Drosophila melanogaster: one gene and its partners. The protein of the gene in region 4 interacts with the protein of the main gene of each other region in a pairwise test. Each region holds a gene or a part of one and is shown on either strand. Other genes may lie near its edges. The genes, in order: Poxm, CG11076, tj and CG4496.

Region 1 (4,568 bases), on a different chromosome or scaffold from region 4:
CCCTTTAATTTCCTTTAGCTACATAATTTCATATCATTTTATTGTATGAAATGAACTTCTAGAGCTAGCTGGAAAATAGCCAGTTTCACAGCTCTGATCCTAGGACTCCAAATTCGAGACTGAGAAATGGAGTTTGGAATGATTGTGGCAGTTCCGGTTTTGGGTCGCCATCGCCCCCATGGGACTTGACACAGGCCATCTCAAGGGGTTAGAGTCTAGGGGTTAGGGGTTAGAACCAGATGTTAGCCGCCCGCTTATTGATGCGATCGCATTCATTATCCCAGAATGAACTGGCTCAAACACGTGCCCCCTAACGATTAGAAACTCATTAAATATATGGTAATGAGCTGAGTTTGCTTCCAAGAACATGAACTACACTTGTCAGATGTCAGAGGTTGTGGATCCATGGGGAGATGTCCACGCCCAAAGGGAGCAAATGTCAACTGATCTACAGTGAGAAACCTAGCATATTACAACAAAAAGTAGAACATACTATTCAAAGGATAAAATGCAAAGGGTTTTGGAGGTTTTAATTATACTCAAAGCCTATTTAGTGCAACTTTTTTAAGCTCGCCGAGCAATGCCCAAAATGACTGCAAATGCGCTTAATGAATGTTCCGCATCAGCGGTCGGGGATGTGATTTAATTAAAGAACTCAGGGGAAACGACGCCACACAATCAAGCCGAGGCAGTGAAGCGTTTTCCCAAACCCGAACCGCAATCATCGGTATCCACGGGAGGAAGCTACTGGTCGGGCTTTCAGATCAGTCCCCGCCGCATCCTCCCGCAGTCGCTGCTCCTGGGCACCTACTCCCATACCATATAGACTCTTCCATTAAGGCATGTACACATTGACGCGACGTTTTCCTCCTCGGATCTCAAGTGTTTGCCTGCCTTTCGTGGCCATCGTCTGCGCCTTTTGTTTTACTGCCCCTTCTGTGATTTTAACATCTTGCACTTGCGGCCCGCGTCTGGTGGGCTTTTCATGTTTAGCTACCGAAGTAGATGGCTACCGGTGGCCGTTAGTCACGCATTTCTGCACCTCTGGTCCAGAGTCTGGGTTTTGGTTTGGGTTCGGGCATGAGCATGGGTCTGCATCGGCGTCTATATCTTTTTCGACGTCTCCTAGTGAGCAAACAATGCTGGCGTACAAACAGAATGTCAAAACATCGAAAGCATGTCATTAATGGACCAAAAGTGCGGGACCTCCTAGCCGACTTATAACTTCTTTTCAGCTCGGACAAGTGGAAAAATATATATTCGTGTATGTCCTTTTGATACTTTGCCATAAAGAGGCTCAAGCAAACAAATAAATACTTGAAACTAAGTGGGGAATACCATTATAAAAGATTACCCATAGTCAGTCACACTTGTATGTCACTCATAGAAATTGAAAACTATTGGCAAATTATTTCAAAAGATGATCTAAGCAATTCGAAATTTGTAAAAGTAAATCGACGCATGCCAAATTATTCGATTGCGCACATGTTTGTCAACAACTGAGAGAACTGATCAAATCTTTACACACTTGTGTAGCGTAGTTTTCGGCCATAAGGCCATGTCTTGCACTCGCATTTTGCTTTTGGCCCAAAGCACATGGACAAACAGAGACACGGACACTTGGAGCCAAAAGTGAAGACCGCACGACAAAGGCAGAAACATTACAACGATCATTAGTTAAATTAGGAGCCTTGGCTCCGGAGTTTGGGATTGGGATTGGGGTTATGGGTTTTGGATTTTCGGTTTAGGGTTTTGGGTTTTGGAATCGGGTACGTGTGCGGACGTCGGCGACATCATCGAAAGTCAAACAAGTGCCGCGGCTACCGCGAGGCTGTCGATCATGCGCCAAGCGACGGCAGCCTTTTGAAACGAAAATCAAAAGCAAACATCTGCCTCTTGATGTTGCCCAAAAAAAAAAAAAAAAAAAAAAAGAAGTTGGTCCAGCGAGCGATTGTGTTTATCCCAAGCAGTTAGGGGATCCGGATAAGGACTTGGCTGGAGGATCGGACAAGAGGGCTTTATTGGCAAAACACTCGAGTGGCGGGCTTAAGTTAAGAGATTTAAGTGAAAATATAGTGCTACTTTTGAATTTGTCTTTTCGTTACCTTATATTTTAAGATAGAGAGGGAAATGTGATTTCAAAAGTCTTATCAATATTTCCTGCAATATACATATTCTTGTTTTTCTGATTATATTAACCCAAATCTATCAATAAAATAGCTACTACGCTTTTTAAAGAAACCCAATGCCGTCGGCACCTCAAAAATGCCGATAGATCTAAAAATTTTAATTTGGAAATGAATTCTGAGGCCTATATCTTTGTGAGTCATGGATTGAGACATACCTGGGTCCATTTCGGCCGATGGCAATTGATTGAAGAACTCCAGAATTGCAATTGTGGGCACCCAAATCTGCCTTTCGCCAACTCCGCCGTGGAACTTTCTCCGATTGGATTCGCCGGAATAGTTGGACTCTGCTTTGCTGGGGATTGTCGGTGGTTACCTAGTCGTTAACTTTTCGCACTTGGCTATAATGTGAGTTTCAATTAAGGCATGAAATTTGTATACAAATTGGCGCCAGTTGTGCGGGACAGCATCGGGCTGCGATGCCTACTATGCCGTGAACCAAGACTGAGATCTGATTAGCACATTTTCGGGCCAAAACGATCGCTCTCGAGTAGGTTGGCTCGAAAATTATCACGCACTTATCACACCTTATTGGGGAAGCGGGAACTACACACACTTAATGACACTACAATGGGTTTGTTATGCTTTGATTTTGGGAATTATGTCGGTTTACTTTGGACTTGACTGGCGGACCTCCCGTGCGATTGATGGTTTGCAAATGAACCGATTTAAACAGCATTCACTGATCCGTGCGCGCGCCTTTAAATCTTTCGATGGCCTTTTTGCTCTAGCGTATCGGGTCGTAGCGTATCGGTTGGGAACGGTTTGGATCGGGAAAACCTGGCGCGCTCTCCAAAAACGATCGTTGCTGCTCGTCACCCGTGTCTGCTGCGACTAACGCTGCCCGCGGCGCTGCCGATCAAGATCGCCCACAATCCACGTCCACGCACACATTGAATATCACCACCACAGCCACAGTCACATCCACATCTACAGGCTCAAGTGGAAGTGGAAGCCACCGCGTCGACGCAGCATCCCAAGATCTCGCTCTCTCTTTTTCTCACTCTCCGCATTCTCCTCCGCAAGCACACACACACTCATCCGTGAGAGGAAGGGGCGGTCGGTCGAGCGTATATGTGGGTTTTAATGGCGATGATCGCGCACTGGTGTGCGTTTGTTGGTGGACCGCGGGCAAATAATAAAAATGAAGAATGTCTTTCAGCGATCAGGAGCGCAGGCAGCGAATTGAGGGTAAGCCCAGAAGAGTTAAGGCGCCAGTAACTTTGGTATCGAAATATCTTGTAAGTGTTTAAAGTAAAGGGTTCATATAAATTAAATATTTTAATAAAGAGATCGAATTCAGAAGTTTAGAAGAAGGTTTTTAAGACTTTATTACATCAAGTTATACACAATAATCTATACAATTTTTTTATTATTTATCATAACATATTTCCGTTTTCTTGCTGATGGATAATAAACTAAGCTAACAACCCATCTCTCCTTTTTTCCCCAGTTACCGCTCCTGTAGTCGCTCAACTTTGTGTTTGTGTGCCAACGGATGTGTGGGTGTATCCATGGATCGGAATTCGTACTCTCGCTCTCTCTCCGCTGCAATACCTACACAGACGAACCGAACCGAGTGAGTGAGCATACGCAACCGGGCGGAGTTAATTTCTGAATGCTTGAATGGCCAATCTGAAGCAAGTAAGCGTATCCGTAGCGTTACGCAGGGTGGGCGAGCGATGTCATGACTTCTTAGTGTCACACAGATGAGGAGCAGACGAAAAAGGAGCCGAGGGAGAAGGATAGAAGGAGAGAAACGGAAGGAAAAGGAAAGGGGCGGGGCTGTGGGAATTCTCGGAGCGCGTGCATCTATTTTTGGTTCATTAAGAAAGCCATATCGCTAATAAAGCGGCACAGACAGCTAACCCCGTAGATCCCCAGGGATCCACCTCCCGGCCAATGCGGCGTATGCGTGATGCCAACTCTCGCTGAGGCGTTGCGTCTTGCTTGGTTAGAGTTAATTATAAGAAATGCCGTCTTCATCTGATTGTCACTAATTCTGAATACCGCCATTTAATGATAGATGCCAATTGTCGTTGTCATTCCCTCATTAAAATGGTCAAATCGCCGCTCTTGCTATTCTTAATGTTGTGCTCGCTCTCTTCGCTGGCTGTTTAGCATGGCTGTGTGTGCACTTAGTGCGCGTGTGTGTGTGTTTTGGCCCACACACACTGTTGCGCGTTGGACACACCTCCTTGAGTTGGCTTACGCTTACCTGCTCATACCTTTTGTTGCGAATCCAATTGGCCCTCTCCCTGTCACTTTCTGATTTCTGCTCATTGCCGACTGCATTTCCCTGCATTTTGTGGTTTGACGAACGCCATTTCCGACATTGCCTTTGTTTTAAAACAAATAATTCTTATAGTTACAATGTACTTT
Region 2 (3,487 bases), on a different chromosome or scaffold from region 4:
TTATCAAAAAAGAACTGGGATATAGTATCGCCCAGACACATTACCGCCGCCACATTGATGCCATCCTTTAGGTACGCTTTAAGTCTCTTCATCCTTATCAGAGATCAGTTCCATTCATAGCCCGATCCAAATTGTTTTAAATACGCAATTAAAACACAACTGAGAAATCGATTTGCTGTTGTTCGTGTAGTTTTAAAGGGTTGCCTAATAATCGCAAAGTGATTGGTGTCAATTGCTGAAGTGACAAAAATTGGCAACTCTGAATAATTATTTAAATTAAATTATGCTAGCGTATTCAACTTTTTAACGCGCGTGAGTCCTTTTAATTGTTACATGCCGAATGAGAAAACGTTAAATTGCGTTCAATATGCAATTTAATGTAATGTAATGTAAAATAACTTAAACGTTTTAAGTATCGAACTGTTTTAGCACAGAAATCTCTTTCGGAACATGCGCAACGCGTATTCTTAATATTCTTTTAAATATAAATCTTAACTTTAACCACCGCTCTTTCTCCGCAACTATTAAGGTACTGATATTAACGTCAGCTGTTCATAGTGCTGTGAACACGCCTTGACAAAGTGCAATTTTATTTCGTTATTAAATGACTACATTAATTTATGCAGCTTATATGTGATAATCTATAATCCAAATCGTTACATATTTTTATTTAATTACGTAAGTATGTGAATTTATCTTAAGTAAACTCTAATTCTTAATGGTTTCCATTCGACTTTTTTAAGCCTTCTTGTGCAATTACTTCGTCCAGGTCATTAGCGGCCGTTGCTTTCATTTAATTTAAGCTTCTTTTGTCTATTTCCCTACTGCATTTCCCGTTTTGTGACCGTTTGAATTAAATTTTTTCTTGCGCATTTTGGCAGGACCAACTTCCTCTGCTGGGTTCATTATATTTTTCTCGATGTCCTCTTCGTCTAAGAGATCTTTATATAGATCCGGGATTATTGTTTCCTTCATGAACTGCGGCGTACGACCGGTAAGCACCGACTGTCGCACATCGTCCTCTTTTTGTTCTAGCGTCTGTGTGGTGGTGTGCAGCTTGCTCCGGATCTTGTAGTAGTTAGCAGTGCTGCGAAGCTTGGCAGTAGCTTCCAAGAATTTCTCGTCTGCTTGACTAAGAGATGTGGAAATCATCTTCGGTAATTGGATGCGTTGCTTGTAGCTGCGCCCGAACAACGGATGTCGTTCTCGTAATAGGTACTTGGGTAGCGTTAGATCAGCTTGAATTGTATGTTCCTTCTGACCTGGTAGCGGTTGTTTATCATATAGACGCTTGCTGATTACCACATAGCCGACAAAGGGAATTTTCCGGAGGGCATAGGGACCCATAGATCTCAAATAGCCCAGTGCCTCGCTCTGTAACGTCGAGTTTTTGACGGCACGAACCTGGAGATCGCCCACGCTCTTCCTGCCAGGAAGCCTAATGCGCTTGCCGACTAGCAGATGTGGATCTGCACCCTTGGGACACTGGACCAGCCAGGCTTCGTCGGTCTGACCATCGAAATCCCAAAGAGCATCCCCGCAGCACTCACGAGCAGCCGCGCCTGAGGTCAGGTTCACGTACTGTTCCTCCTCCAGAAATTGGCTCCGAGGTTTTTCCTCCTGGCGGGAAAAGAGTTTTTTACTTATTTTCATTGAGCGTTGGGGAAATCAATGTATTGCAGAAAATGACCACACGTGGTACAGGTGGAAAAATACAAGGGAAATATCGATGCATCGATAACTTAAAATGATTTGAAGGAGTAAATATTGTAGTTATGTGTTTGTAAGCGTAAACACCCCTAACCTAGATAAACTATTAGATTTTAGCGATGGGTAGGAAGGAAATGTTTATAGCTGTTTCTCGCTAAAATGGAAGGGCTTAGCAAAAGTAATAAACCCTAAGTTTCCCATACCAACCAGTTTAACATAAACAAATTTATTTTTTAGGTTTTAAAATAACGCTTTTCTTCAGGCAGACAAGCCGACAAAAATTGTATTAAGACAAATATCGAAAAATTTTGTTTGCTTTTGATATCTTTTAAACAAAAATTAATTGCCAATCAGACTGACTAAGAATTGTTTACTCGCTTTTTCAACCATATCTTCTTCATCATCTTCATATCAGGATCACCAGCCGAGTCGATCTACACATGTCCCTCTGTATGTCGAGATCACAGGAACTACGAAAGCTAGATAGTGATTTAACAAGTTGAGACTTAACATTCCAGAGACGAAGAATCAGGGCAAGTTTTTTCATCGATGCTGCAACGCACAATCTATTGCCCACACGCCGCCCAAAACTGTCACGCCTACCACTATTAATATCATTTTTTGTCATATATTTTCCAAATTCTATCCATAAGCCATAAAATAATTTAAATTTCTCTTGCGTACTTGCGTTCTCTCTTGTTTTACTTATTTTTGTTGGTGCAGTTACCTCTACTCAGCCACATCAGCTTGCAATCCATTAAACCACCTTTTCATGGGTGTATCAGTCGTTAGTGTCGGGCAACCACAACAGTTACAGTTCATTGTGTATATATAAAAGTGGCATTCGGACACTCTCCTGGTGCGGTAACAACAACGTAAGTCCACATTATGGTCTGAATACGCAAAAATACTAAAACCTCGATATGTTTTGGAAGCGTAAATACTCAATATATCGCGACTACCGATTTGCTCATCACTAGGACTTCTGCTCGCCCGCACACTTCTCAGTTAGTTCGAGAAAAATGTTCGCGTTACGTGCTGCATCTAAAGCCGATAAGAATTTGCTGCCATTCTTGGGGCAATTGTGTAAGTAGCACAAAAATAAAAATTTTTAATTGATAACAATTGTATTAAATTGCGAAGTTCAGCACAAAATATGTGCTTTGGCTAATAGCGCAATTGTCGAACATAACCTATCGTTCAATAAAATGTTACGAGCGAAAAAAAATATTACATAACAATTTTGAATGATTTAAGGTTACTTCTGTTTTATAACATATATAACAGTACTCAATTTAAACGACTTTTGAAAAAAAAAAAGATTTTTTTAGTCAGACATTTGCGTGTACGTCTTTCTGTAAGTTAACTAGGTATGTACATATATTGTATGCCGATATTGTTTGACGTTTTAAATTGAATAAATTTTTTTTTCGTTATATTGCAATTGAATTCTTCACAAAGTATTTTGAAAATTAAAGTTACTTAAAAATTAAATTAATAATTAATAGTATAATATTAATTGTTCATCATTATCTTAAAAAATAATATTAAAAATTGTCGATATTGATGCCCAAATTGTTACTGTTTAAGTTTTACGATGATGTATTCTACTAGTATCACTTTCGTTAAGTATAACATAAATCTGTATATATTGGTATCTAGTGATAGGAAAATCAATAAACTGATAGTACTTTTTATTAAAAAATGATACCAATTAGCTTTACATATGGGGTATTAAGAAAACCTTTTCATACGCTGGCAATATAAATTAGCAAAC
Region 3 (5,777 bases), about 12 Mb from region 4:
CACTTCAGCTGGAGCTCCTACTACTCCAGAGCTCCTGCATGCGCCGTTACGCGACCGAAGTTTGTTGACATAACTTATCGAAGTCCAGAGGGATCGGGATCGAAGTGTTTATTTTGATTCTTAAACTGTTGCCCGCGGGGGTCGTCGTCGCTGGAAGCCCATTTATCCATGCCGACAGACCACACAGAAGATGCCACTTCTCGGAAAACGGCGAGATGAAACCCAAAATCTATGATGCAAGCTGAGACCCACTCGGTGGTTTCTAAAACCCAGATATGAATATGAATGTGGCATGGGGACAAAATAGAATACAATTTGAATACTATGAAAAACTGAGCATTCTATATTTTTACGATCTTCAATGTTTAAACTATCAAGCATCCAAAGAAACGAACGTAACTCTCAGTTCATGAGCATTCAATGAATCTTTTAATCCGTATCAATGTTTACAGTTGCACTGAAACTGAAATCTAACGTTTACTAGTTAGATTGCAAACCTTTTGGCTGGCAGGGAAGCGCCCAAGAAAGAACGCACATAGGATTATTCATTAATTTAGATTTATTTATTACTAAATTGTTTTATGCACACTTATCAACTACTCACAATTGTTTTTAGTTTGTAATTAATCTTTAATTTTCCGGCTCAGTATTCGCGTGTGTTTCTTCTAGTTCCACAAAGACAGAAATCTGAATGCATTCAAAAAATCTTAAATTTACATCTTTTCATCTTTATACGTAAGTGTGTGGGTGTATGTACATTATTTTCGATCATCATTTTCAGTGCTCATTAAATTGTATAGGACTTTGTTAGTTTGTTAGTTTACTTCAGTTGAGTTTGTTCTTCGCTTCGATCCAGTTTCACTTTATACATCGGTTCTTCCAGCTTGCGGTGTTTTAACTTAATACAACCTTTAGTTTTATTAGATGTATTGCTACTGAAGGATTGGAATTTTTGCGGGCGGTGTGGCTAAAACGGAAACGGCAGGGGAAGCACGGCCTCTAGAACAACTATCGCATCTATGATATTATAATTCGCTTCTGTTTCGCTTAATACTAGTAGGGAAACTAAGGCTAGAACTAATCAACAAATAAGCGTGTGTTACTAACTCGTACTTTGTAATAATTTAGCGATTGATAATCAGAAGCCGCTAGTTAATTTACCTTTTTGTTTTTGTTCCTTGGGTTTATACAATGTTTGTCCTTTATACATACGAGTTCCAATTAGTTTTATTTATAATCGATCTTTGCCTTAGTCAAACTGATAATCAGCAAAAGTTCCATCCAAACACGCTCTCTCTCTCTCTCTCGCACTTTACTTTCTATCTCATCTATCTCAATCTCTGTCGATCACTTTCCAAGTTCTCAAACTGATATTCATCGGAATTTATTGTCGCAATCAGAATAATGGCAAATTAAACGCTTAAAAACCCCTTTAATAAATTTCATAGTAACATAGCTAAACAGAATTCTGCGGAAACCGCCTAATTTTTCAGCATTATTGATTAAATGGAAATGTTTTTAAATTAATGAGGGAATAAATATCAACAGTGGTGGTAATGGGAATGCACTTCTCTTGAAAATCCAACCTAGTTACTAAATTATTTTTAAGAATACACAAAAATAGGGACAAACTTACAATAACGCGTGGTATAACACAAATCATTTTGAATGTATAACAAACAGAATTTGAATTCTGACATCTAACCCCTTGGAAACGCTTTAACAAACTCTTTTTGGAAAACATGTTCTTTCGAGTGGAGACTATTTGGAAAACATTCTTGGAATCAAACCAATTTACCTTATACATTGTGTCTAGGAAAAGCTCTTGGAAATGATCAACTCTTTGTGAAAGTACCTTAAACACGGAACGCTCTCTACTTAGTTGACCAGCTGCTGGGGATTCCACTGTGGACCCCGATGCTGGAGATGAAGTTGCTGGGGGTGCTGCTGCTGCTGCTGCGAGGAGGAGGATGAGGATGCGGAGGAGCCGCTGGCCACCGCCAGCTGGCGTCAGAGGTAGAATTCCGGAGAGCTTTGGCTATCGCCGCCGGCGGTTGCACCTCCCGCACCGACTCCGCCATTTGCCGCCCGCTGCAGACGCTGCATGAGGGCATCCCGCTCCTGGCAGACCCTCGAGTACTCCAGCTTCAGGCGGTGCAGATCCTGGTTGAGCACCCGGTTGGCCTTCTCCAGTTCGTGGCGCTGATGGAGTCGCTTGGACCGGCAGTTCTGGGCATAGCCGCGATTCTTCAGGGTGCGTCGCTTCTGCTTCAGACGCACTACCTCCTCCCGTGGGCAACCATGGAGCCGCTTGTTCAGCTCCCGCACCGTCAACGTGGTCAGCATGTCGTCATTGAGGCAATCCTCCAGCGTGGCATTACTGTAGGCACCCGAACAGGTTCTGGGCGACATGTTGTTCGAGGATCTGGTCGAGCTGGCGGAGAGCGGGCGGCACGGCTGAAGGGCAGCCCGTGTGATGACGCAGGAGCCGCCACCCACGCTGCCGGGTCCACCACTCCCGCTTCCACTGCCTCCTCCGCCTCCGCTGCTGCCACTCCCGTTGCTGGGCACTTGGGGCAGACAGGTGGGCGTCAGGGCACCCGAAGCACTACCGTACGAGTTCGAGTGCATGTTGATGGGCGTCAGTTCCAGATTGTGGAAGTGGTGGTGATGGTGGTGCGGATACTTGCTCTGCTGCAGCATCACCTGGTGGGGATGACCGCCGTGTCCATGCGGATGATGCTGCGCCTGCATCAGCGGCTGTCCGTGATGGTGGTGATGAGCTGCCGCCGCCTGCAGGGCGTAGTCCCGCTGTCTGTCCCACTCCTCCGCCTCCTCCTGGGAGCCCGGATAGGGCAAAGGCCGCAGATCCAGCGGCTGCTGGTCCGCCCGTATCGAGTTGGTCAGCCACATCATGTCATGGCTCAGTCCGGCACTCACCGATGCTGCTCCGGCGGAGGCAGCAGCTGCGGCGGCGGCGGAGGCGGATACGGATACGGAGCTGCCCGGTGTCCTCGCATAGTGGTGTGCGTAAGTCTGAGCCGGACAGCTGCTGCTGCCCGTGGGCGAGCCCACTACTGGTGGCGTTTCCGGCGGCGTTGAGGGCACTCCGCCCGGAACGCCCGCTCCCGAAGATGTGTTCACCAGAATCGCCTGTCCGGGCAGCGGACCATACTGCTCTGGTGGCGGAGAGAGCGGTTGCAGGCGCCGTTCGTCCATGTGCCACTGGTGATGGCCGGAGAAGGACCTCAGCTTGATGTGCGGCGATGGCGAGACCTCCACTGCTCCGGCGGGCTCTGGTCCGGACAGCGGCAGCGAGTCCGGGTCATCGTCCGGATTCGTGGGATCGCCGTGGATTGTCGTCCATTTAACCGCCACCGGCTGCGGTGGACTGTGATCCTCGCGCTTCACATGGCCCAAAGTCGTGACCTGGGACGCGGCACCGGCTCCATGCGATTGGCCAGCTCCATTTCCGCCCACCTCCAGGTGGTGCAGATCAAACTCCTGAACGTACGTGTCGTTTATGGTGGGATCTTCCATTTTCATTGGATCGACCAGGGACCGGAGAGGGTCGATTACGGGTCTCACATGCAAGGGAGTGACCGTGCTGATTGGTGGGTGGTGGTTAGTGGGTGGTTTCAAAGGTCAACTACGCGATCGGGGGTCACGGAACCAGGCACTGGCGCTTTCGGCCTGCGGCTAAGTTTTATCTTGATCTCAGGATTTAGGTTACGTTTTTTTTTGGGGTTACCCCAGAATCTGTTAGATATTTACTTCGATGCCGGTTTCTTAGATTTCGTTGTAAAAGATTGGATTGCTTATTTATGATTTAAAATGTAAGTATGCTTTTATTAAAGCGATCACTATCCGCACTTTGGCGCTTAATTCATTTGTAAGCTCGCTCTCTTTCCAATTTTGCTCACTAATTTCGCGAACGCGCTTTTCGCGTCCAATGTGAAAGAGTTAACGGTGGCGACTGAACTCCGTGTCCGTTTCAACTAAGGTCGGACTGAATCTGACTGGAGGGTGGCTCTGCTCTGGAAGCTCTGCTCTGGATGCTCTGTTCCCTTGATGATAACTGTTAGAATGGCAGCGCAGCGCGCGCACACCCACACACACACACCCATTCCTTTTCCCAACAGCCGACAAACAAAACGACTTGCCAAAACCAAAAAGCCGACCAGCCCAACAACAAACAAAACCGAGCTCGAACGCCATTCGCTGATGCTTTTGCTTTTGGTGCGAGGGAACTCCTGTTGGAAACGTGGAAATGACGGTTCTAGAGGAAGGAAAGAGGCGAAAGGGCGGGGAGGCACTTGTCCGCAAGAGAGAGAGAGTGCCTTTCGTTGTAGTTGTAGTTGTTGTTTGTGCTTTTGCCGGCAGCTGCTGCTCTCGCGCACAACAACAACAAAAGTCAAGCCGGGAAAGCTTCGTAGATTCGATGCACTGCACAGTGGGATAAAAAATTGCAAATATAAAATAATTTCATTCGTACATTTTGACAAGTTTAAGTTGTCTAAATCAAATACAATATTTTATAGCTAAAGGACTAACTTTGAACTTTGAAAAAGCGATTATATTTTGATCTGCTTTAAATGTTACAACACTTGAATATCTATACAAAATTCTATTAATTTCACGTTCTTTTTTAAGTATTTTAAAGAAATTTAGACCTTTTCGTGGAAATTCAATCAATTCTTAGCTAAAATCGCTTCCCTTGACTAACAATCATTCTGGTCAAAGAACATTACTTCACCAATAACAAATATGTTGATGTTGTTAACAGTCTAAAAAAGCGACTTAACAAGCCAGAAAATTGACTGCATTGCCTTATAATTGGACATGGAAAAACATATTTTATGCATTATGCTATATACATTATTATATACTATATACATTATTAAATTTTATATATACTGATGAGCTATTTAATGTTTAAATTTCGGAACATGTAGCACGTAAGTAATGTTTCAGTAAGCCCTTGATACCCAATACCTCGACCACTGTGCAAGAGCACAAATCTATGCTCTGGGATTTCACTTTGTTGGTGGTGGAATGGAACCGTTGGTGTGGCTGCTCTGCTGCTCGGTTTATTGTTTGCGTTTTTGAATTGCCATGGAGCGCATAAAAAATGGCACACATAGACACACAGACACACTTTATGCTGTCGTCGACTCCGCCCACTTTGCCACTGTGTGCGCGTGTGTGTGTCGGTGTGGCTCTCCCCATCTGCGAGTGTGTTGGTGTCTGAATATTTATGAGCAACTACCACGGAAATTCCCGCATAGCCCCATTTGCCGACTTCCAGTCTCATTTGGCTGGCCATCCACACGAAGTCGGTGATGGAGGTGGAGATGGATGTGCCCATATGTACATACATACATATGTATATCCACATAGGAAAGTATATGCAGGAGTGGGTCGCACAAGCACAGGCACATCCATATCCACGTCCACATCCACGTCCACTGTTCCATTTTCCAGTGCATAAGTCAATGGGAGATGTTTTAGCCGAGATAAGTCGCTCGATTTGTTTTGGCTCGTATATAATACACTGCCCACTCCATGGGCATGTGTGTGTTTGCTTGGGCCAAAGGATTCCATGGTGCACAGGTGCATTTTTATGCTGATCCAGCGGAAACGGAGTACAGAACTTAGGAGCCTCCGACGGCCCAACTTGGACACGGGGCGCTCTTGTTTTACTTTAATTTGAACCCCTTTTTTCTGACTTTTTGTTTTGAGCAAATGTTTTGTCTTCGCTGGCCAAACAGATTGCT
Region 4 (6,709 bases):
CCAACAAACATTGCAACATGTGGCCAAAACGGTGGCCATGGTCAATCTTTCGGATCATGTGGTGGATGTGGTCTTTACCATCTTTGATGAGAATAGTAAGTTCGTAATTGAGTGTAATTAGAATAACAATCTTAATTCATTCGGCAAACCTCTTTCAGATGACAACCAACTCAGCAACAAGGAATTTATTTCGGTAATGAAGAATCGCGTGCAGCGCGGATTGGAGAAACCCAAAGACACAGGATTCCTAAAGATGATGCGATCGGTGTTCAAGTGCGCCAAGGAAACCAAGCCTGTGCTGCTGGACATCTAAAGATCGTCACTATGTGGATTCTCCCGCTTCAAGCGCCCCAATCTTAGTCACTTTTTCCTACGCTTACGCTTTTTACTATTTATTTTTGTAGTTAACGTTTACATCAATCGATTTTAGCTCAATCTTTGTAATTGTTCGACCCCCGGCAGGTTGACGACTGTCTTCTGTATATTTCACCGTCTCTTGTGCACTTAACTCGTTTATTTTTTAATAAAAATATTATATTTATAAATAAGTACATCTTTAGGAATTTTTGCTGTAGCTCATCATTCAGTTCTTGGATTATGGCGCACGTTACATTTTACATTTCAAAAGTGTATTATAAGTGCTTAAAAAAGAATATGAATGAATAAATTAATAGTGATATAAAACACTTTAAAAAGATATGAATATATTAATAAGGAATGTTTTAATGATCCTTAATAGCTAATTTATATGAAATATGGGATTTTCAATCCTCTTTATGCATTAAAAAGAATGACCAAGAGTTTACAACTCTCGCGCAGTTAATATTAATTGTGGGCTCAAAACATTTTCTATGCCACATCTACGTCATCCTGCTCCTCGTCCGCCACATCATCAATGCTCATCCCGTACAACTCCAAGTCGTGCTTTTTAAGATGGGCCGTATAAGCATCCAACTCGGTGAATCGTTGCTGACACTCGCAGCACTCTAGGCAATCTTCCACAGAACTGTCGCCATCGTCGTCACTCTCGTAAATGGACGACTTGCGGCTACTCAGCTGATCCTGATGATTGTTCTTGTGATCCGAGTACTCCAGATAGTCCCTGAATTTGGAGGGACACCTCAGGCACTTGTACCAGCGATCCCTGACATGGGTGACCATGTGTTTCTTGAGCGTGGAGCACTCCCTGAAGGGTTTCCTGCATTTTGAGCAGCTAAATGGTTTCTCGCCAGTATGGATCATATAGTGGCGTTTAAGATTATGACGAGTTCCGAAAGGACGATGACACAAAGGACACGGATAAGATCTGCGAGTGCGACTCATGGACTTTCCAGCTATATTTCCATCGTTGCTCAAGGAAGATGAGGAGTTGGCACTGCTGCAGCTGCGAGGAAGTGGCGGGCGACTTGGCTGCGTGTGTGAAGGAACTTTTTCCGGTGGAGATTGAATAGGTGGTATTAAAGTAACCATTAAACTGGGTTGTGTTGCCACTTGTGGCTGCTTCTCATTTTCTAGAGCCGCTTCCTCTATTTCGTCATCATCCCCTTCCATCTCATCCGAATGTTCCTCCGTTGTTTTTTCGCCCAGTTCCTCTGGTTGAGGTTTTACCATAAGATTCTTGCTTTCACAATCCGCACACCTTGTAGAGTCCTGCTCCAAAGGTGCTCCCAAGTGACAGATCATGCAAATGAATTGTGGATCGTGTGAGTGCCTTCGACGATGCTTTTTAAGATCGCTGAATTCCCGAAAACGTCGCTCGCACAGATCACAAGGGAATGGTCTTTCACCTGGGGAAAATTTAGTAGAAAGTGATAAGTGGAGGTATTTGAATATTTTATGCGAAGTTTCGTACCTGTGTGGATCATCATATGACGTCTTAGATTGTAATTAGATTGCACTTTCTTCCCGCAGTCAGGACATTCGTACATATGCCTTCCCCTTCTGTTGGCACCTGGACGCCTCTTTACTAATCTCCTCGACCCAGAAGATTTCCTCTTGATGACATTGTCTGTCTTCTGTTCGTCCTCCTGGTCGGAGGGCACGATGATCACCAGTTCCTGTGGATTCTGGCTTCCATCCTGTCTCTGCTCATTCAGGACGCAGCTTACAGCGTTTGATGGAAGACTTACATCCTCATCTACTTCACTATCTTCATCGTGATCACTATCACTCAGTTCGATTTCTGCGACAACCCTGTGCACCCGTCTGGGAATCAGTTCGATATCTGGTGTTACCCTCCTAATGGATGAATTCCAATGGGCTAGACTCCTGGCTGCGCTGATTATGAGACCCCGAGGAGATTGAGCCTCCTCCTCGTCCAATTCGATTACCTCTTGATCTCTTCGCTTTTCGGCCTCCCGCCTTTCCTTCTCTCTTTTCTCCCTTTTCTCTTGTTCCATGATCCTTTTGATTTCCAACTCCTTTTCCCTCTGCTGCTGGCCGATTTGCCACAGGAAACTCTTGATTTTCACATCATCAATGGATATGAAGTTCTCCTCGGGCTCCTGGTACTCATATCTGACTGGATCGGGCGGTATTAACCCGCAGGCGGCGTCGCAGCTAGCGTCGCAGCAGGCGGAGGCAGAACAGCAGGGCAGCAGAGTGCAGTCCTTGCAGCAGTCCACGCAGGATGATGGTTTATTCAGAGCCAGCTCCATCAAATCTGCAATGTTACAATAAACAATTTAGAAAAGTTTAAGAAAGGAACGTAAGAATTGCACTATCATTGTACTATCAGAAAAAAACATTGCATACATGTAGGCGTGTTTTATATAAATCACATTCTACTATGGATAAATCGGCACTTATCAGTATTTCCAAGAAGCGTACTTTCTAGTATCGAATAATCACAATAAAACCTCTCAAACCATAAAAAAAGAATATATTATAGGGCACTACATTTCCATCGATCACATTGAATAGCCTGTATTGGTTTATATTAATATCCTGGACAAGTCGCATACGAACCATTGATAACCCAGGAGATTCCGATCGAATGAATTCTGCGATTGCACACACACCCCTCTCTCACACTTTACAAAGCTTCGCTCCTTTCTTTCGTTTTTTATCCGCAATTTGTGCGCTCGGCGCTGCGTCTGCCGTGCGAAGAAGTGAAGAAGAAACTGGATTCGCGATTCGCGATTTGCGGCTTGCCGAGCAGCAACCTCTCGGCAAAAACAACAAAACGCCGCAAAAGTCGAGCTTCGAGTTGACGCCGACTGCGCTGCCCGGCTTGTGAATCAGCGAAGCGAGCAGAGCAGCAGCAGCAACAACAACAACAACCATGTGGGCAGCGCTTAAGGCTTTTTTTTTGTGTGCACGAACGTGAGCCTTTAGCCCCCCTTTCCCACCACTGCCCATTGGCGTGTTAACTTGATTTTTCTTGGGGCCACGCAAGAGCGAAACACGAAAAACAAAGAAAATGCCCCACAACAACAACAAGGGCAACAACAAAAACAATGCAATTACAGCCGGAGCAACAGGCGCAGCAGCAACAACAACTCACGATTTTCAAGATTGCTCACAAGAGCAGGGGCGTAGGCAGGACATGAGAAGGGGTGAGGTTACCAGGAGTGAAAGGAATTCCTTACTATATATACTTGTATATAACAACGATCTAATCTTCAATGAAATGCCAAAAAAAAGATAATTTGCTTTTTGTTAAATAGGAACGATAATGTAGGATTAAAAATTTAAAGTATTTATTGTGGTTGGGGCAAATAACCCCCTTCGACGCAAATGCTTACGCCCGTGCAGAGAGGCGAAAAGAGAGCTGGAGAGTGATATCAAGGGGGAGGTGGGCGAGAGAGTGGGCGAGTGGGAGTACGGAAGCATGGCGAGAGCGCGGTGGGAGGGGGTAGAGGAGCAACGAAAAGGGAGCAGCGTGACCAAAGCGTAAAAGGCAACAACAACGGCGTAGCCAGCGCCAACGCCGCTGTCAACGTCAACGTCGACGTCGAAAAAAAATTTATTGACGTCCGAGCAGCAGCGCTAAAGTAAAACCGTGCGCCTTCAACTTTTTTTATTCGCATTTGCTTTTCTTCTTATTTTTAGCTTTTTGTTGTTGGTTTCCTTTTTATGCAAGTATATACATATGTACCTTCGTACATATGTACATATATCTAAGTAATTGACTTTAATTATTGGCCGCTTCTTTGGTTATTTTCCATTTTCAGGGCGATCTTCGGTAAAATGCCCATAAATGCCTGAAAACCCGCGATCGTTTTTTATGGAGTGTTAAAAAATGGCTTGCAGGTGAAAAATTACTAATATTCGCGTTTTGTTTAGTATAAGCCTTTACGATAAGCCATATACGACAAATTTGACTAGTTTTCGATTTTGAAAACGTAAACATGTTTCTCATCCTTCATCCTGTGATTTAAATAATTATTAAATTCAAATAAAATTAAATAAATTTAAAGCATTCAGCAATTAAGAGATAATCTTATACATACATACATATTCTAAATAACTAACCATATTTAAACAGGAAGAGACAAACTCACCTTTATATTTTTTCGCATCCGACTTATATAATCACTTTTGAGTCACTTTTGGCTGCCTAGGATAGCGTGTTTTCTTCTAATTTGTATTCCATTGGCGTGGGTAGTGGGGTTCTGCCCCTGTGATATATGGAGCCAGGTTCCCAGATCCGCTTCGAATGCTTTGGGCTAGGCTCCCGATTGCTTTGGTCTCTCGGTCTCGAAATATTGGCGATCGTGACTGCAGCGCTTAGTTATCTTATTTTGTTGTTTTTTTTTTTTTTTTTTTTTTGCTATAAAACTCGTTTGTATCGGATCCCCTCACACGTCCACAGACACCCACTCGACTTGGTCCGTGTGGAAACGGCCTGGTTTATCGGTCTCGGTCGGTCTCGGTCCCTGGCTTCTATCTTCTGGTCTGCGGGATTGGTTCGTCCGTGTTCAAGGCACGAGCATCTGGCCATGTGCATTGTGTCCTATCTGTGTGGGGAAACCAGTATGTCGCTGTTTGCGAATGGGGATTGGGGATTTGGGGAGCAATGCTCGGCTTCTCATTACCCAGGTGTTCGAACTTTTCGGTGCGTGTGTGTGCATATCGTGTATGTGGATACTTACTCGAGCTTGCAGGTGCTTCATGTGGCTGGCACGATATTACGCTGGGCGACGTTATTCTAGGCATACTCATAAAAGTTGTATATATAATAATATAAATTATACCTGCTTTTAATATTTATAAAGTAATGAATGCTATGGCCGTAGGAATTGTGCATTTTCTATCTGAAATATACTCATTTTGAATAGGCACTTTCTTGCTTTAGGTTTAGTATCTTATGTACATAAAATATGGTCAAGTTCACTGCCCGCGAGATACTTTTTACTTAAGTCGCTATTTATAATCTAGTTAACATATTTATTTAATTATTTATATAGTAGTTAATTGTTTAAGCCAACCAATGAAAACAAACAATTTGATCAATTGAAAAAATGTGTATTTCTTTTTGGATCCTTTTTAAGTATAACTTTTTTTCTTGAAACTATGTAAATTCGCTTACGATAATTAGAATCGGATCGTAAATCTATATAATATATGCGTTACTATATCAGTAAGGTTTTTGTGGGATACGCGCAGATATCCGCGCTAAATTGGATCACATTATAGGCAATATAATGCTGGATATATTATTACACATAAGCATAGAATAAACATATTTGGCAAAATTGGGGTTTTCTTCCTAATATCTAAGGGGTGAGGTGGCGACTAAAAACAAAACTAATGTACGTCGATTATTAACCGAAACATTGGAAATGGGAAAACATTCTATAACACAAAGATCGAGGCAATAAACTCTGGCTATATATAGTATAGTGAACCTTAGGCTAACATATTAAAACCGATTGATTCTAGGGGTGAAGGGAAGTGCGCAGCGTTAAATGATATGCAAGATGGTTTAGAACTTCAGACAAACAACTTAACTATGTACAACAAAGCTACGATCTAAAGTTAAGCAAGTCGGAGGATCTTTTGAAACTCTCAACTTAAGCGTGTGTGTGTAATTGGTTATTTCGGGTCGATTTTCTTAAACAAAAATCAAAGTACCACTAATTTATCTTTTGTCTCTTCCACGAAGATTTGTTTTGAACACTACGGGAAATATACATTTTAAACCATTTTTAATCCTTTACATATTACACCAAAGGTATTCTTAATTCAATTTTCTTTCTAAAAAAATATTGCTTGTGGTTTTTATAACAAAACCTTTGGTTGAGTTTTAGAACTTAAAAATGATCAAGCTATGCAATTTTATTCGAAAATATTTTCTAAAGCATTCAAAACAAATCAGCTAAAGTGCAGCAATGATTAACTTTTGGCTCCTGAGATTATAAGCATTTCTTAGAATTTCCTAAAATCGACCCCTAAACTAAGTTAATCTGTGTATGTTCTTAAAGCTTTTGCGGCACATCTTTGCTGACGGCTCCCGTTCGCTCGTGATTGACCACAAACTTCTTGGCGCCCGACAATCCCTGCTTGTTAATGTAGAAGCTCTTTTGGGCCAGCGGCGAACCACCGCCATCGGAATCAACCACCAGGCGATTCAGGAAAGTGGCAGCCGTCTTGGCACCACTATCGCAGGAGGATGACTCTATGCTAATGGTGGAGCATCCACCGATCGATGAGGTCTCACTTTTGGCATCGTCCATCAGAGTGGCATCATCCACCAGGTCGTTGA

What was found.
Region 1: the proteins of CG4496 (region 4) and Poxm interact in a two-hybrid assay, tested with the Drosophila melanogaster proteins (one large-scale study listed by BioGRID).
Region 2: the proteins of CG4496 (region 4) and CG11076 interact in a two-hybrid assay, tested with the Drosophila melanogaster proteins (one large-scale study listed by BioGRID).
Region 3: the proteins of CG4496 (region 4) and tj interact in a two-hybrid assay, tested with the Drosophila melanogaster proteins (one large-scale study listed by BioGRID).

Annotation. Positions count from the first base shown.
Region 1 is NT_033777.3:8,330,771-8,335,338, forward strand, and holds the start of Poxm (Pox meso), read right to left. Parts: upstream 3,023-4,568; 5' UTR 2,355-3,022; coding exon 2,345-2,354; intron 1-2,344.
Region 2 is NC_004353.4:1,029,158-1,032,644, forward strand, and holds CG11076 (uncharacterized protein), read right to left. Parts: upstream 1,819-3,487; 5' UTR 1,654-1,818; coding exon 814-1,653; 3' UTR 554-813; downstream 1-553. Other genes in the region: mitochondrial inner membrane protein MPV17, read right to left, coding at 1-92; ATPsynbeta (ATP synthase, beta subunit), read left to right, coding at 2,733-2,796.
Region 3 is NT_033779.5:19,462,525-19,468,301, reverse strand, and holds tj (traffic jam), read right to left. Parts: upstream 4,036-5,777; 5' UTR 3,547-4,035; coding exon 2,011-3,546; coding exon of another isoform or gene 1,879-2,010; 3' UTR 544-1,878; downstream 1-543.
Region 4 is NT_033779.5:7,184,980-7,191,688, forward strand, and holds CG4496 (uncharacterized protein), read right to left. Parts: upstream 5,032-6,709; 5' UTR 4,506-5,031; intron 3,090-4,505; exon of another isoform or gene 2,968-3,089; intron 2,663-2,967; 5' UTR 2,658-2,662; coding exon 1,853-2,657; intron 1,788-1,852; coding exon 850-1,787; 3' UTR 501-849; downstream 1-500. Other genes in the region: MICU1 (mitochondrial calcium uptake 1), read left to right, coding at 1-95, 159-313; CG4497 (uncharacterized protein), read right to left, coding at 6,423-6,709.